Linked DNA regions of Anolis sagrei. Each later gene encodes a partner of the first gene's protein in a complex. Links are inferred from orthologs where the notes say so. Each region holds a gene or a part of one and is shown on either strand. Other genes may lie near its edges.

The links. Proteins that work in one complex are often made in the same cells at the same time.
Region 2: the proteins of F7 (region 1) and POGLUT1 are in contact, whole or in part, in a crystal structure (PDB 5L0S), measured with the Homo sapiens proteins. The link is inferred for Anolis sagrei from reciprocal best matches to the Homo sapiens genes F7 and POGLUT1. Residues at the interface, in NP_000122.1 of Homo sapiens: Asp108, Gln109, Cys110, Ala111, Ser112, Ser113, Pro114, Cys115, Gln116, Asn117, Gly118, Gly119, Cys121, Gln126, Ser127, Tyr128, Arg139, Asn140; in NP_689518.1 of Homo sapiens: Met103, Phe104, Pro105, Ser106, Arg107, Arg132, Asp133, Pro171, Ala172, Trp174, Pro178, Thr179, Thr214, Asn239, Gln240, Ala241, Val274.

What each region holds. Positions count from the first base shown.
Region 1 is NC_090023.1:108,697,269-108,705,245, forward strand, and holds the start of F7 (coagulation factor VII), read right to left. Parts: upstream 3,004-7,977; 5' UTR 2,959-3,003; coding exon 2,889-2,958; intron 1,406-2,888; coding exon 1,245-1,405; intron 27-1,244; coding exon 2-26; intron 1-1. UniProt on the Homo sapiens protein: Initiates the extrinsic pathway of blood coagulation. Serine protease that circulates in the blood in a zymogen form. Factor VII is converted to factor VIIa by factor Xa, factor XIIa, factor IXa, or thrombin by minor proteolysis.
Region 2 is NC_090023.1:53,208,698-53,216,568, forward strand, and holds the start of POGLUT1 (protein O-glucosyltransferase 1), read right to left. Parts: upstream 3,001-7,871; 5' UTR 2,981-3,000; coding exon 2,827-2,980; intron 1-2,826. UniProt on the Homo sapiens protein: Dual specificity glycosyltransferase that catalyzes the transfer of glucose and xylose from UDP-glucose and UDP-xylose, respectively, to a serine residue found in the consensus sequence of C-X-S-X-P-C.

The DNA of each region.
Region 1 (7,977 bases):
CCTGTGTAGTGTGTCCAGAATTGCATCTGAGCAAAAGAGGGCAGAGGGCAGGGTGGGGGGAGAGAACAAAACAATGTTATCAGCAACTTTGTTCATAATTTTTAAAAACTTCAGTAGATTTAAAACCAAATCTTTAACTTTTGTAAATTGACTTAAGTCCCGGGCAAGGAAAAAAGGCAGATGATGATGATAGTGAGGGTGATGATTTAATTTCACCTTCTCTTGCATAGATTTAAAACTAGGGATAATTTATTTATTTATTTATTTATATCCTGCTTTTCTCCCAAAGTGGCATACAGCATGTAAAATCAAGACATTTGCAAACAAAAATATGAACATGAAGCCCGACAAATAAGTATTTTTCAATTATTATTCCTACAGTCATGGTATTTGAATGGCCTGCAGACCCATCTAGACAACCAGGAACCCAACTGTTATAAGCATCACAAAGCATCCCTGACAAATGCTCATCCAACTTTTGTTGGTTTGTGTGTGTGTGTGTGTGGATGGCATCTAATTGTTGCCGGTCTGTACGCCTTCAGGCTGAAATGGACAGGATAGAAATGATGCAAATAATAAATAATAAATAAACTCACAAGAAAGATGCTCAGACTGCATCCGAATACACTTAGGACCTCATCATACATGCCTTCGGAATCACCACAGATCATGGCAAATCTGGCAGTGCCCAAAAAGGGATGTGGAGAACCCATTGCCCCACGCCTTGCATCCTCCAACTTACCCTAGATCCCACCCCATGAGGGGAAGCGTCCGCTGCCCAGCTTTCCCCCATTAATCCCAATGCAACACAGGAAGCCTCCCTTGTTGCCGCCTGTAATGTTGTAATTTCACTCCAACAGGGATTCTGCCAGTTATTAGAGGCAACAAGTAATCATTCAAAAATTAACTAGTTACTAAAGTAACACATTATAACACAATACTCTTAAGCAGTGACTAAAACCATGTACCTTCAGTTTATCTTCACTGATTCCACTTACTGGTCAAACACCACCTCTCCATCTCTTCTGAATCCTTTCCAATTTAGCTTTCTTCTCACAAACACAAGAAATTTAATTTTCTGAACCGTATCAGTTCATCTTACAGACACAGGCTTCTGTCATTAAATATTCATTTGGATTGAAAACCATCCCACCAAGATACATGTGAAGGAAATTAGTACAACCTTTAAAAAATCACAACTGTAGAAAAAACACAATTTCCCTCCCTAATGCCCTGTTACTTACTGTCCTTTTGTCATCCTTGAATATTTCCCTTGCTTCTTCGAATGAACACTTCTCTTCAAGGCATTCTCTTTCCAGTGACCCTGATTTGAATTCTTCAAAGAAGGAATTGGCTCTCTTGTTCCTTTGTAGTACATTGCTTGCTTCCTCGTGCTTTAAGAAGACTTAAAAACAGAAATCATTGACTAGGTACTTCATCACACTAGAGAATGAATCCACTTTAAAACCCGTTTCTGCCTCCTCAGAATTCTGTGGTTTGTAGTTTAGGGAGGCGCCTTTAACAGTCTCACTAAACTAGAAACCCCACAATTCTGCAGGAGGCAGAAAACGGATTTTAAGTGGGTTCATTCTCTAGTGTGATGATGTTTTAGGTGCATTTATCATACAATTATCTGGAACATCTCCATAGCTGAGGAAAGTAAAAAGTACAGCTGCACTGAATTCCTTATACTTTGTTCATGATGGTAAATATCAACAAGGTTACTCCTCATTTTCAGCATTGCAGGGACATAGTTTAACTACTGTTCATCTTATTACAGTGCTCTCTATTATCAACTCTAACCTTCACCACAAGTTCAGTCGATGAGCTGCTGATGACTGGCACTTCTCATTCGCTTCCGCTGGCTTCCCACTACATGGCAGTGATACCAACTTCCTCCACGAAAAATCCCTGCGAGAGCTACATGCCTTGTAACCTTACTTTCTTGATAACTTTCATATTGTCTATGAGCCGCAAGCATAAAGTGGGACATGAATATATCTCACAAGATCTGTTTTTTCTTCTTCCGTAAATAAGCACTTCACAGAGAATACACACTTCAAAACTTTAAAACTGTTTAAACAACTATTCGATCTTCTAAAGTCACATTTGTTTTGCTCTGTTGACAGTATATACTAAGTAAATTTTATTTTAGATTGAACAAAAATACTTAATTTAATTTTTGTCTTACTGATGGCACTCACATTTTGTGATCAGAGTTGAAGAAATACCTTTTAAGACATTTACAAATATTTCTAAGTGAGTATTAACTAAATTAGTAATTAGAGTAAGTTAGAGATTGTGATGGCAAACTTTATCAGTCAACAGTTTGATCAATTTATAATCCCCTAATCGATTAGGACAAATTTCAGCTCCTTTAATCTTAAGTTATTGGTGGGAGGGATGACACAGTTACATCTAAGTGTGTTGTTGTGCTTATCATTCTGCTTTATCAATGAATCTTATTAGGCAAAAATAAGAAAAAGGCACAATATAGTAAACATATAATATGTTTATATAAGCTTCAGGGGTACTAAGTCTTGCCTGCAAGCACAATTAAAAATAAATACCAATATGCTGAAAACTGAGTAAGATAGAGATGTTTCAGCAACAGCTTGCATTGATATTGTTTTGGGGCTCTTCTGCTCTAATAGTTTAGAACCCAAGAGGCCCTTAACTTTAACCTTAACAGCAGACATCTAAAAACTATAAATGTATCAATGTCATAAAAATAGCTGGCTTAGGAATGAAGTTATTTGGCTGATGTTTAGAAATTTCAGATTTCAAGGTTTTTTGGACTGGCTTTACAATTTCCAAAAGAAAGACAACCAAACTACAACAAAATAACAGTTCAGCATTATATATTAGAACAGTTTTCTGAGTCATACCTGCAGCCTGTGAGATCGGATACACCAGCAAAAGACCTAAAAGCAGAATGTTGAAGTGACGGGAAGCCATGATGAAACTAAAATGCTGTGTCCAAATAGTGTACTGATATTTCAGCAAGAACTTTGTGACCAAAGTTCTCTGTTCCAGTGGCTACAGTGGGAGGAGGGGTACAGAGAGACAGAGGAGGGGGGGGGGGGAACCAAAGCCATAACACAAACATAGCTAAAAGCAGAATGGAGAAGAGTTAGTGTTTTGGATTACAATGCCCAGAATTCCCTAGCCAGTCTGGAAAAGCAGACATTGCTTGATTTAGAGTGCATCTACAAAGTTAATGCAGTTTGACACTAGATTAACTGTCATTGCTCAATGCTATGGAATGATGGGAGTTGTAGTTTGGCGAGGCAAATTACAGTTTTAGCAGAAAAGGCTAAAACTCTTATAAAACTGAAATTCCCATTAATCCAGAGCCTTGAGCTATGGCAGTTAAAAGTGGTGAATTGATTCTACATTGTAGATGGCCCCTTCAGAGAGAGAGAGAGAGAACAGGGTTCAAATCACAATTAAGATCCTAAATGGAAGATCAGATACAGTGTCATAGAATCACAGAGTTGGAAGAGACCTCGTGGGCCATCCAGTCCAACCCGTTGCCAAGAAGCAGGAAAACTGCATTCAAAGCACCCTCGACAGATGGCCATCCAGTCTCTGTTTAAAAGCCTCAACCACACTCCGGGACAGAGAGTTCCACTGCTGAACAGCTCTCACAGTCAGGAAGTTCTTCCTAATGTTTAGGTGGAATCTCCTTTCCTGTAGTTTGAAGCCATTGTTCTTCTGCATCCTAGTCTCCAGGGCAGCAGAAAACAAGCCTCCTTCCTCCTCTCTATGACTTTCCCTCACATGGCAACATGTCTCCTTCCAGCCTTCTCTTCTGCATGCTAAACATGCCCAGCTCTTTAAGGTGCTCCTCATGGGGTTTGTTCTCCAGACCCTTTATTATTTTAGTGGCTGTTGCACTCCAGGACAGGAAAAGGCCCTCTGATTTTAAAACACACCACACGTTGAGTGAAGAAATAAATCCTTTTTATTGAAGCTTAGTAAAATAGCCAGTAGAAAGAAATGCTTGTAAGAAAATAGGAAAGTTCCAGAAAGTAAAAGGTCAGTAAAATGCAGTAACTTAAAGCAATGTCAACAAAAGATATAAAAGCAATCCAAGGCAGTATTTATCCAGATAGGAATCAACAGGATGCAAAGACAATCCAAACACCAAAAGGCTAGAAGTTTCCACAGGAACAAGACCCCTTGAACAGGATTTCCACGGCACATGAACTTGATTTCCAAATGATGCCTGATCTAACAGGTTTTCCTTTGAAGCAAACCTTATATCCCCAAACCCAGAAACTGGTTTCGTTTCCCCCCACCCTTGGCTCTTATCTGAGGAAGCATTTCGGAGCAACGTAAACCTTGAGTTTGTTGTCGGTCCTGGATGAACTCCAGCCACCTGTTTTTCAACTCCCTTTCTGGCTGCTCATTAAATTTTCCAGGTGTCAGATTGTTTTCCAAACCCAAATCTTGAGAGCTCACAGAGCGAGGGAGTAAACCATCATCCATATATCCAGCAGGAATATTCTCATGAGAAACTGCCCTTTGCACTGGAGCTTCTCTGTCATTGTCTGCAAGAAAATCATTGACCAAACCATCTCCATCTTGCACCTCAGCCTCGGCACCACCATTTACCTCATCATTGCTCACAGCATTGCCCACATCAGAAGCATCATGATCCTGGAACACAAACACAGGCTGATTCCCAACAGTCACCTTCCTGTAGACACCTTCCAGCTTGTCACTTGTGGTGCTCATAATTGGACACAGTATTCCAGGTGTGGTCTGATCAAGGCAGAATACAGAGGTAGCATGACTTCCCTGAATCTAGACACTATACTCCTAATTATGCAGGCCAAAATCCCATTGGCTTTTTCTTCTATATTAATCACATTGTTGGCTCATGTTTAACTTGTTGTCCACGAGGACTCCAAGATCTTTTTTCACATGTACTGCTGTCGAGTTAGGCATCCCTCCATTCTGTACGCTTGCATTTCATTTTTTTTTGTGGCCTATAACACTAAAAACAGCCTAAAGCTAAATTATGAAAACTCATAACACCAGGTCGCCAATAGCCATCTCAAATTGTAAACAAATACATTAATTAGAATAAACCTTCATTTGATTGTGAAAGTACAACAAATCAATGGCCAAGATCTCCTTATGGATGGAAATCAAGGTTCAGTGACAAAGTTCAGTGACTGAGACTCTGGCCTCATCTACAGTGCCATATAATCCAGTTTCTGAATGCAAATTGACTGCACTGAACTGGATTATATATATGGCAGTGTAGATCTGGCCTCTATTGTTCTGTACATGTGGAGATAACATTGCAGAACTGTGTATACACTACCTTGAGAAGTTAAATATTTCATTACACAAGGCAGGTAAACTGGCACTGCAGTTGAACCATCGGATTTGGTGACAGTCACTAATTTACAACATTTTGTGCATCTTGCTGCCAGACTTCTTCCTCTCTGATTATCCCATCCCTAGCTATTGATAGGTAAAACTCATCAATTGTTCCCAGTCTCACAATGTTCCTTTCATCTGTCTTGGTGTAATAGGTCCTGTCTGTAAAGTGACATCAGAGGGTGGGATTCTCCAGCTTTCCCCCTCTCCTCCCTCATTATTCCCAATTTGCCCCTTTTCTGTTTATTTTATATTTCATAGATATATTTGCCCCCTTTTTTGTTTTTCATAACTTAAATTGCCCAACTGCTCCAAAATAAAAGTCAAAACGTATGGTACAGTGGTATTGCAGGAAGGCAGGGTGTAGTGAACTCATACCTTTGCTTTGTAGGCCGCAGCCTGGGAGTCAGTGAGCAGGCCTCCCTGTTGGGAGGGTGCTAAGGATAGCTGACATGTTGGGAAAGGCAGAGAGGCAAGGGGAGGAGTCAGCTAACTCCTGATTGGCTCAGACCCCTAGGGGAGGAGTTGAAGGAGTGTGTAAAAAAGGCTGTACTTTCTGTCAGAGAGAGGAGAATGATTTGATCTTAGAGAGAAATGGTTTTGATCTAAAAGAGAGAAGAGGGATTTGATCTGAGAGAGATAGGATTAGGATTTTCAGGCAGGGAGAAGAGAGTTGCTGAGTGAGTTAAGAATTAGGTTGATAGGGAATAATAGAGGGCAAGTGCTTCGGGGTACTTTGGCTTGGGTAGTCAAAGTGAAGGCTTGTTGACTTGTATTGAGAGAGAATACAAGTGGGTTTATTTTCCTACAGTGCAGAGCAGTCTAGAAGGAACCTAGTTACTCTTGCAGGTAGCCAGGGCGGCTGGTCTAAGAAACTTGTGTTATATTCTCTCCTTCCTAATGGGTACATGTTTTCCCCAATCCAAGAGCCAGTGTGACGTAGCAGTTTGACGATTGTACTATGACTCTAGAGCAGTGGTTCCAATCTTTTTTTTTAAGCAGGGTCCACTAGACCAGGGACCATTTTGACCAGGGACCACTCTCCAACATTAGTACCAAAGGGCTACATATCAATTTTTTGGTCAACTTTAGATTCTGTTTGGTTAATTGGGGTGCCAATTCAGAAAATTGCATTGGATAGACCAAATCAGCTCTAGTTTCTGAAACAGAACATATGCCATCCAGTAGTCACCATCTGCTCTCCCACAGAAAACCATATTTAATAATCTAGAGCTGATGTGGTCTATCCGAGGAGGAGGGACTGGTCAGTGACAGGGAAGGAGTGGCAGGTGGCACAAAAGGAGCAGAAATCAAATAAAGAGGAAGGAGGCTCGTGGACCAGATTTTCTTCCTTGCAGTCCACTGGTGATGTGCGGCTTAGAGATTAAGTTCCACTGCTCTAGAGACAAAAGTCTGAATCCTCACTCAGCCACAAAACCCATAAATCAGGCATAGGCAAACTTTGGCCCTCTAGGTGTTTTGGATTTAAACTCCCATAATTCCTAACAGCCGGGAAGCTGGCTGGGATTTTTGGGAGTTGATGTCCAAAACACCTGGAGGGCTGAAGTTTGCCTATGCCTGCCATAAATAAATGTTGTTGTTTATAGATGTGATCAGGGATGCTGGCTAAGTTGTATTTTATCAAAAGCTAGTGGATTTTTCTGATGTTAAGACCTAATATCAGCACTTTATTAAATCCACTATCATTTCTCTTTTCACATTTTCAACCTTTTTTTGAATCAAACTTGCTGAGAAAACCATTCTTCACCTTCACAACTGCTGTGCCAAATTACAAAAATCTTACACAATATCTGTAAGATTTATACACTTTGTTGTTGCATAATGACGGAAGCTACAGAATTACTGATTGCATCTTAGATTTATTCATTCTTCCTCTGCAATAGCAACATCCAGTCTTAAAACAAAAAACACATTTCACAATTTCTTGGAATTGTCTAGGTTCCTTGCACACACTGGCCCCCTCTTAAAATCATAAATTCGTTTTCCGGGCACGAAGTGCCAAAAACATGATGTGGGTTCCAACAGCTTATAAAAGATTGTGTTCCTGTTGTTCATTATGAAAGATAAGTAGCCCAATTTATACTCAAGCCTTCAAAAGTTTATGTCATACATTTATTGGTGTTTAAGCATGGTGTTCTTGCTACTAAATGGACTAACACAACTAAAAGAACAGCATAGTTCAATTTCAGAGATGTTCTTGTGAGACATATTCCACTGGTATGGCAGAGCCAATGGTTTAGGCTTCCAGAGAAAGGCAATGCAAATTCAACAAATAGAAGAGTTCTAGGTGTGAATGATTTATAATGTTCAGTTTTCAATGCCAGAAATTTGGAGAGGAAATTTCAACTTTGGGGGGCTATAGCCCCATGTTCCCCATAACTACACCTCTGCCTTACCATCAGTAAAAATAACGCAGGTGCCCTGTGACTAAGGGGTTTCATCTGACACTTAATATGGTGCTGACTCAAAAGCTAATGACAGAAATGGGTACTTGGTAAAGGAAAAGGTTTTCCCCTGACATTAAGCCCAGTTGTGTCTGACTCAGGGGGCTGGTGCTCA
Region 2 (7,871 bases), about 55 Mb from region 1:
AGGCTGTTAGGAATTGTGGGAGTTGAAGTCCAAAACACCTGGAGGGCCAAAGTTTGCCCATGTCTGGTCTAGACTGCCGTTTCGTATTCTTGTGTGCCTTAAAGTTGCTTCCAATCCATGGCAAACCTATCAAGAGGTTTTCTTGGAATGATTTGTTCAGAAGAGCTTTGCAGTTTCCAAATTCTGAGGTTTAGACAGTGTGACGTTCCTAAGTTCGCCCAGTGGGTTTCACACCCAAATGGGGATTTGAACTCTGGTCTCCAGAGTCCTAGTCCACCACTATAATGTGTCCCTATCTTTTTTTCCCAAGCAAGAAAAAGTAGACTGAAAAAGCAAGGAAATAGGATGTTCTCAAACAATCCCTCCCTTCCTCCCTCCCAATTGACACATGGAGAGGCTACAGAATCCAATAGCTGAGTGTTTTAGTTTCAACTTGTTTGAGGAACAAAAATAGTATTTCTTGACGCAGATGCTAACTTGGCATGGGCTAACTTCAGCCCTCCAGGTGTTTGGATTTCAAATCCCACAAAACCTAACAGAAGCTGAGGGGGAATAGAAAGGACCTGAGGCTGTTAGGAACTGTGGTAGTTGAAGTCCAAAACACCAGGAGGGCTGAAGTTTGCCCATGCCTGTGCTAGCAGGAAGCAGTTGGAGAACTAAACACAGCAGTTAGGAGAAAGACTTGGGGTACATCTGTACTGTAGACTCAATGCAATTTGACACCACTTTAACTGCCATGGCTCAGGACTATGTGATCCCAATAATAATAATAATAATAATAATAATAATAATAATACACTTTATTTATATTCTGTCCTTCTCCCCTAGGGGACTCATAGCGGGTTACAGCATTTACATGCAGCACATAGGTAAACATCCAACACCTTTACAATCATATAGATTGCCATGGAATCCAAACCAGTTTGGGTTACTGTGAGTTTTCTGGGCTGTATGGCCATGCTCTAGAAGCATTCTCTCCTGACGTTTTGCCCACATCTATGGCAGGAATCCTCAGAGGTTGTGAGGTGAGGTCTGTTGGAAACAAGGCAAGTGGGGTTTATAGATCTGTGGAATGTTGAGGGTGGGAGAAAGAACTCTTGTCTGTTGGAGGCAAAAGTGAATGTAGCAGTTGGCCATCTTGATTAGCACTGAATGGCCTTGCAGCTTCAAAGCCTGTCTGCTTCTTGCCTGGAGACACGGCACTGCACTTTCATCCCATGCCCTTGTTCCTTAGCTACAATTTGCACTTATCCCATTCCCTTGTCTTGTTTAGGATTTGGCCATGTCTTATGGCAGTCATCACTATACGTTATTGGGTGTTTTTCTGAGTTTTAAATTGTTGTTTTTATGTGATATTGGTTTTACTTTTTTGTATTGTACTGTGTGTTTATTTTATGTGTTGTTTTTAGGCACCCAGAGAGTTTAGGTAAGAGCCCACCCTGGCAGCCTTCAGGAAGAGCCTAAAAATCTGACCGTATTTCCTTCTATGAAATATAGAAAGATAGGATATTAATATTTTGACATCCTAAATCAGTGGTTTTCAACCTCCCTAATGTCGCGACCCCTTAATACAGTTTCTTATGTTGTGGTGACCCCCAACCATTATTTTCGTTGCTACCTCATAACTGTAATTTTGCTACTGCTATGAACTGTAATGTAAATAAATATCTGATATGCAGGATGTATTTTCATTCACTGGACCAAATTTGGCACAAATACCCAATATGCCCAAATTTGAATACTGGTGGGATGGGGGGGGGGGGGGGAGTGATAATGATTTTGTCATTTGAGAACTGTAGTTGCTGGGATTTATAGTTCACCTACAATCGAAAGAGCATTCTTAACTCCACCAATGATGGAATTGAACCACACAGAACTTTCATGACCAACAGAAAATACTGGAAGGGTTTGTTTTGGAGTTTTGAAGTTGTCGTTCACCTACATCCAGACAGCACTGAGGACTCAAACAATGATAGATCTGGACCAAACCTGGCATGAATACTCAATATGCCCAAATATGAACACTGGTCGAGCTTGGACAAAACAGACCTTGACATTTGGGAGTTGTAATTGTTGGGATTGATAGTTCACCTACAATCGAAAAGCATTCTGAACTGCACCAATGATAGAATTGGGCCACGCGGAGACCACTCATGACCAACAGAAAATACTGGAGGGATTTGGGATGAATTGACAGTGATTGGGGGGAGGTGTAGTTCACCTACATCTACAGAGCACTGTGAACCCAAATGGATTCCAAAACCATCAGAAATGTGTTTTCTGATGGTCTTTGGTGACCTCTGAAATCCCCTCACAATCCCCCGACCCCCAGGTTGAGAAACACTGTCCTAAATGTTTCTGCGCAACTTTGGGGCAGAAAGCAAACTTGTACAACTCTCATGACTTGTAGTTTTACAAGATCTCCAGCCTTCTCTGCCAAATAGTGCTCCTGCCTCACCAAACTACAAATCCCAGGGTTCCACAGCCCGAAAAGTAAACCTTGTCAAAACTACAGCTCTCAGGATCCATAGCACTGAGCCAGAGCAGTTAAAAGTGGTGCCAAACTGCATTGATCCTACAGTGTAGATGCACTCAAAGAGGTTCTGGTTTTGAAGGCATGAATGAGTCTAGCCAGGACTGGACTGGGAAACTGCAAGCGTAGATAACAGATCCCACACCAACACAGAGTCTGTAAGATGCAGTTTGGATATTCTAGTATTTTTGGAAGGCAAAGTGGTAACAATTCAGAGCAACGGAGGAATTGCATTCCGTGCAACCTCCCACTGGAAACTAGCATTAGGTCGGCCTTACATATCCTGCACTCACCTGTGGATTTCACCTCCCAACAAAAGAGCAACAAAGACAAAGCAGCCACCTGTAGCACCAGCCCGGCAGTGAGCTGCCCCATAGCGACGAGTGCAACACGGCGCATGCGCGGGAACTCTAAGTAGACTCTCCTGCATGCATTCGGAGGGCTCATTGATAAAAGACAGGCTTTAGCATTCCACTAGCGCCACCCTCTTGTGATGTTGCGCATGCGCACAGGTCCCAGCATTTTTCAGATTGCTCTATGGGCATTGTAGTTTGTTACCAATCAACGCAACAGCTCCTCCCATACAGAGAATCACAGCATTGGAAGGGATTCCCAATAATCCTTCCAGCTAGGCTCTGATAACTTCTAGCCAATCCCATATTCTGATTTGTTTTTGTAATACTTTTGATTGACATGGAAAAGCTTAGAAACAAAAAGAAAGTAAACTAAAAAAAACAGTAGCATAATAAAATAAAATTCGAGGAAGGGAAAAAAAGGCAAGGCAACCACAGATATTGGTCCTGAGAATACAGATTGTTGTTATTATTATTTATTCATTGTTATTATATTTGCAGGGAAATATTACATTTGAACTTTGCAAGATCCATTAAAGGAGAAAAACAAATGCAGGAACTTATGGTATCAATTGAAAATAAGCACAAATATAAATTAAGTGATAAGAAGTGAATTACCAGGATTTTTCAGCGATTTTGTATATTTGTTTTATTTATTTATTTTAATCCCGCCTTTCTCCCCATAGGGATACATGGCAGCTAACAGTGGCATGCTACAATAGGATTTAAAAACAAGGTGAATACATATACATCTATCTATCTATCTTCTATAGCAGCGTTTATCAATCGGAGGGTTGGGACCCTTGGGAGGGTCGCGAGGGCGTGTCAGAGGGACCAACAACATCAGAAAACATAGTATTTTCTTATGGGAGTTCTGTGTGCCAAGTTTGGTTCAATTCCATCATTTCCTGGAGTTCAGAATGCTCTTTGATTGTAGGTAAACTATAAGTCCCAGCAACTACAACTCCAAAATGTCAAGGTCTATTTCCCCAAAAGTCCACCCATGTTCACATTTGGGCATATTGAGTATTTGTGCCAAGTTTGGTCCAGAGTCATCATTCTTTGAGTCAACAGTGCTCTCTAGATGCAGGTGAACTACAACTCCAAAACACATGGTCAGTGCCCTCCAAACCCTTCCTGTATTTTCTGTTGATCATGGAAGTTCTGTGTGCCAACTTTGGTTCAATTCCACCATTGGTGGAGTTTAGAATGCTCTTTAATTGTAGGTGAACTATAAATCCCAGAAACCACAACTCCCAAATGACAAAATCAACCTCCCCCCCCCAACCCCACCAGTATTCAAATTTGGACATATCGGGTATTTGTGCCTAATTTGGTCCAGTGAATGAAAACATATCCTGCATATCAGATATTTACATTACAATAACAGTAGCAAGATTACAGTTATGAAGTACCAACGAAAATAATTTTATGATTGGGGTCACCACAACATGAGGAACTGCATTAAGGGGTCACAGCATTAGGAAGGTTGGGAATACATATGTATGTGTGTGGCTGGGGTGCCCACTTCCACAGATAAAAGTGAAAATACATATGTATGTGCAGAGGCAGCCCTAGGTGAAAATACTTATGTATGTGCAGAGGCGCCCCTGTGTATGTGTGTGGCTGGGGTGCCCACTTCCACAGATAGGCTCTCAGCTGTTAAACTGATATACCTAGGTATGTCTTTGAACTGTTAGGGACAAATATATGTCAATGCACAAAACACATCTGTATATTCAGCATAGTTTCAGAAATGTTCCTTTTAGTTACTCAAAAAACATCTACTGTCCCTTAAAATATATTTGTCTTTAAATCATGCTCTATACAGAGTTCTTTAAAAGTAACACAGTTGGTTTACTCACAAACTTCATGTATTCAGTGTACAGGTACTTTGCATATCAATCCAGTTGCAAGTAGTTTTGAAGTAGCTTCTCTATGTAGGTAACACAGGGCATCCTTCTTAGAATCAATAGTTCATAGTCCAGAACATCTCTCTGTTCTGAGAGTCTAAGAGTCTCTGTCTAGTCAGGAAGCCCAATGGAGTCTCTAAGCATACTGTTCCTACTGAAGTCTAAAGCATACAATTCTAAAAGTCCTGAACAATCCCAGTTCTGATCACATGGTCTGCAGCCCCTCCCACAACAAAGAGTTACAGTAAAATTGCATATCAACACACACAAATACAATACAGTAAGCAATTATATACATTACAAATAACTAGTGGAGGCTTGAAGAAGGTTGCTATTTCCAACGGATTTTCAATTTTATTCTTTTGGAGATGAAAGTGGATCTCTTTGTGGAAACTTAGGCATTTGTATCAGTAGATAAAGAAAATAAATTAACAGCCTGGCCAATAAAAACCAAAAAAAAAAAACCTAGTAATACCATGAGACCTATTAAGATGATGTCGAAAGCACCATCTGAATTTGAAGAGCGCTTTTACAAGTGGAAAGTTCATCCTTCACTGCTACCTGAATGAACTTTGAATAGGAACTATAGTCTCGTTAGAGAGAAGTCTCCAACAAAACTTTAAATGAGATAATTCCAGGCAAAGGAATATCTTGCTACAAAGAAAAACAGGTTGCTCAAAGTTGAGTCAGGAGAGTTGCCCATTCCTCCGATCCCAATCTCTTGATAGATAATTAATCTGCTTTCCATCTGAGATTTTCCTACTTCAGAGTTCACCAGCTTCCTCCAACTAATCGTCCCGGGAGAAACTCCGCCAATAATGGATGATTGAGTTGCATGGGGCTCTATTAAAACTTTACAAGACAATATTTTTGAGTTCTGTAGTTGCAAATTAGCTGCAATGGGCATTGTTAAGAAGACACTGTTTGCATAAGACATAAACAGTAGGGGGGCTGCGCGTTAACTATTCTCTCCAATGACTAACAATTGCAAATTCATTTTACTCAATTCAAAAATTAGAAAAGGGAGCCCTGAGCATTCATTAAGGAACGCAATTGCACTGCAGACAGACATATCAAGACAAAACTCCAGAGATTTAGATTTCCATTCTGACATACAAAACTATTCACTTTTTAGAAAAGTTTTTTCCCCAATATCTTCCATTAAGATATAAACATTGCAAGGTGGTGTTTTAGGAGGACAGATAGCCTTCTCTGAAGATGATTTTACACACACACACACACACACACAGAGAGAGAGAGTTCTAGTATTGATATAGACCTTGTAATATTTGCTAATGAAGACATAAAACAACTTAATTTTGTTCTCCAGTATACATATTTATGTGCAGCATTATTCCCCTGGCTGAATTATTTCACGTTTGAAGGACAACCTTTTAAAATCCAAGAAAGGACAGCCAATCTGACATTTTGGAACTATTGCCTTATAGAAGTATTCACCTTCCTTTGACTTTTTGCACAATTTTATTGTTTTACACCCTGGTATTGAAAGGGATTTAATTGGCATTGTTATTACTTGATATACATAAGATACACAACATGTTTTTTTTTTCTGTGTCAGGAGTGACTTGAGAAATTGCAAATCACTTCTGGTGTGAGAGAATTGGCTGTCTACAAGGACGTTGCCCAGGGGATGCCCAGATGTTTTGATGTTTTATCATCATCGTGGGAGGCTTCTCTCATGTCCCTGCATGTGGAGCTGGAGCTGACAGAGGGAGCTCACTTGCACTCTCTCCGGATTCGAACCTCCGATCTCTTGGCCTTCTGTCCTGCCGACACAAGGGGACTCCTATGCAACATGGTGAAGATACTCAACACTTGAACACAAGTTAAACAAAAACATACTTGTATTGGTTTGTATAAGAATCCATATCTTTTGCCATGGGCAGATCTACACTGGTCCCCTGCACTCTGGGGAGTTGTAAATACTTGAGCCAGTTCAGATTCAGAACTGATAAATAAATAATCATTTTTGGTCCACCTTTGCTACCTCCTGAGATTAGGGATGTTGGCATGATTTTAATGCAGCTAGAGGGATCGTGCTTTTTTTCCATCATATATATAGTTCGCTATTCTGTAGGCCTGGTCATCATTCCCCAGTATTTCAAGATGAGCAGGAGGTATTTCAGGGCGAAAGCCCCACCTGAAAAGTGAATGTTGCATATAGATTATGATTTTAAGAGCATGATCTGTATATCTGTGTGTTATTGAAAAATAGACCTCAAAAGTATGAAGTATGAGACATGGCTCCATTGGGAAAGTATAACTAGCCAAATGGTTATTTCTTACGGCCCTATAGTAACTTTTATATAAAATTTCCTGGAAATCCCTCCAAATGGTACCTCACCTCGCCCTCACCCAGAGGAAATTATAATCCTCACGCAATGAACTGGGATGGATGGGAGGGGGACACACAATGCCCTTGTCCCAGAACCTTTAGGTTCCCTTTGCCTGTTTTACATGATATGATCTGGGCTAGCCTGGGAACACTCCCTTTCCCAGGTCTCTGTATCAGACTCCTATGGAAAGACATTGACTTGGCCAACACCTTTAAGCACACTATTTTCTATCAATCCTAATACAATTGCCCACACCGGAGCTGAAGATATGGGGACCCATCCCAGACCATTATCATTAGACACACTGCATTCCTTTGCAGTTGCGCCCCTCTCCAGGGCAGATTAATAAATGGACAGACACTGCAAAATAATCCAATGACAGTTTATTGAGTTTCCCACTACAACAAAAGCCAATCAACAATGATGTCAGAGGAAATCCCTGACCAACCGGGAAGCGGATGCTAGCTGGATAGTTTCAGGACCAATCAGGCGCTTGCGTGAATCTTAAATAGCTGTCACATTACATAAAAATGTTCTATATTTGCAGATGTGGTAAGTCAGTTCTTTGGAGTACTCTCTCCACTGACATCCTCTCTAACCTTTGAGAACAAACCTCTGATTTTTCATTTATCCCATCTGTGTCTCATTTGGCCGGCTGGGAAGCTAGATACACTCAGCCCCCAAACCCACAATTTAGCAGAGCTCAAATCACATA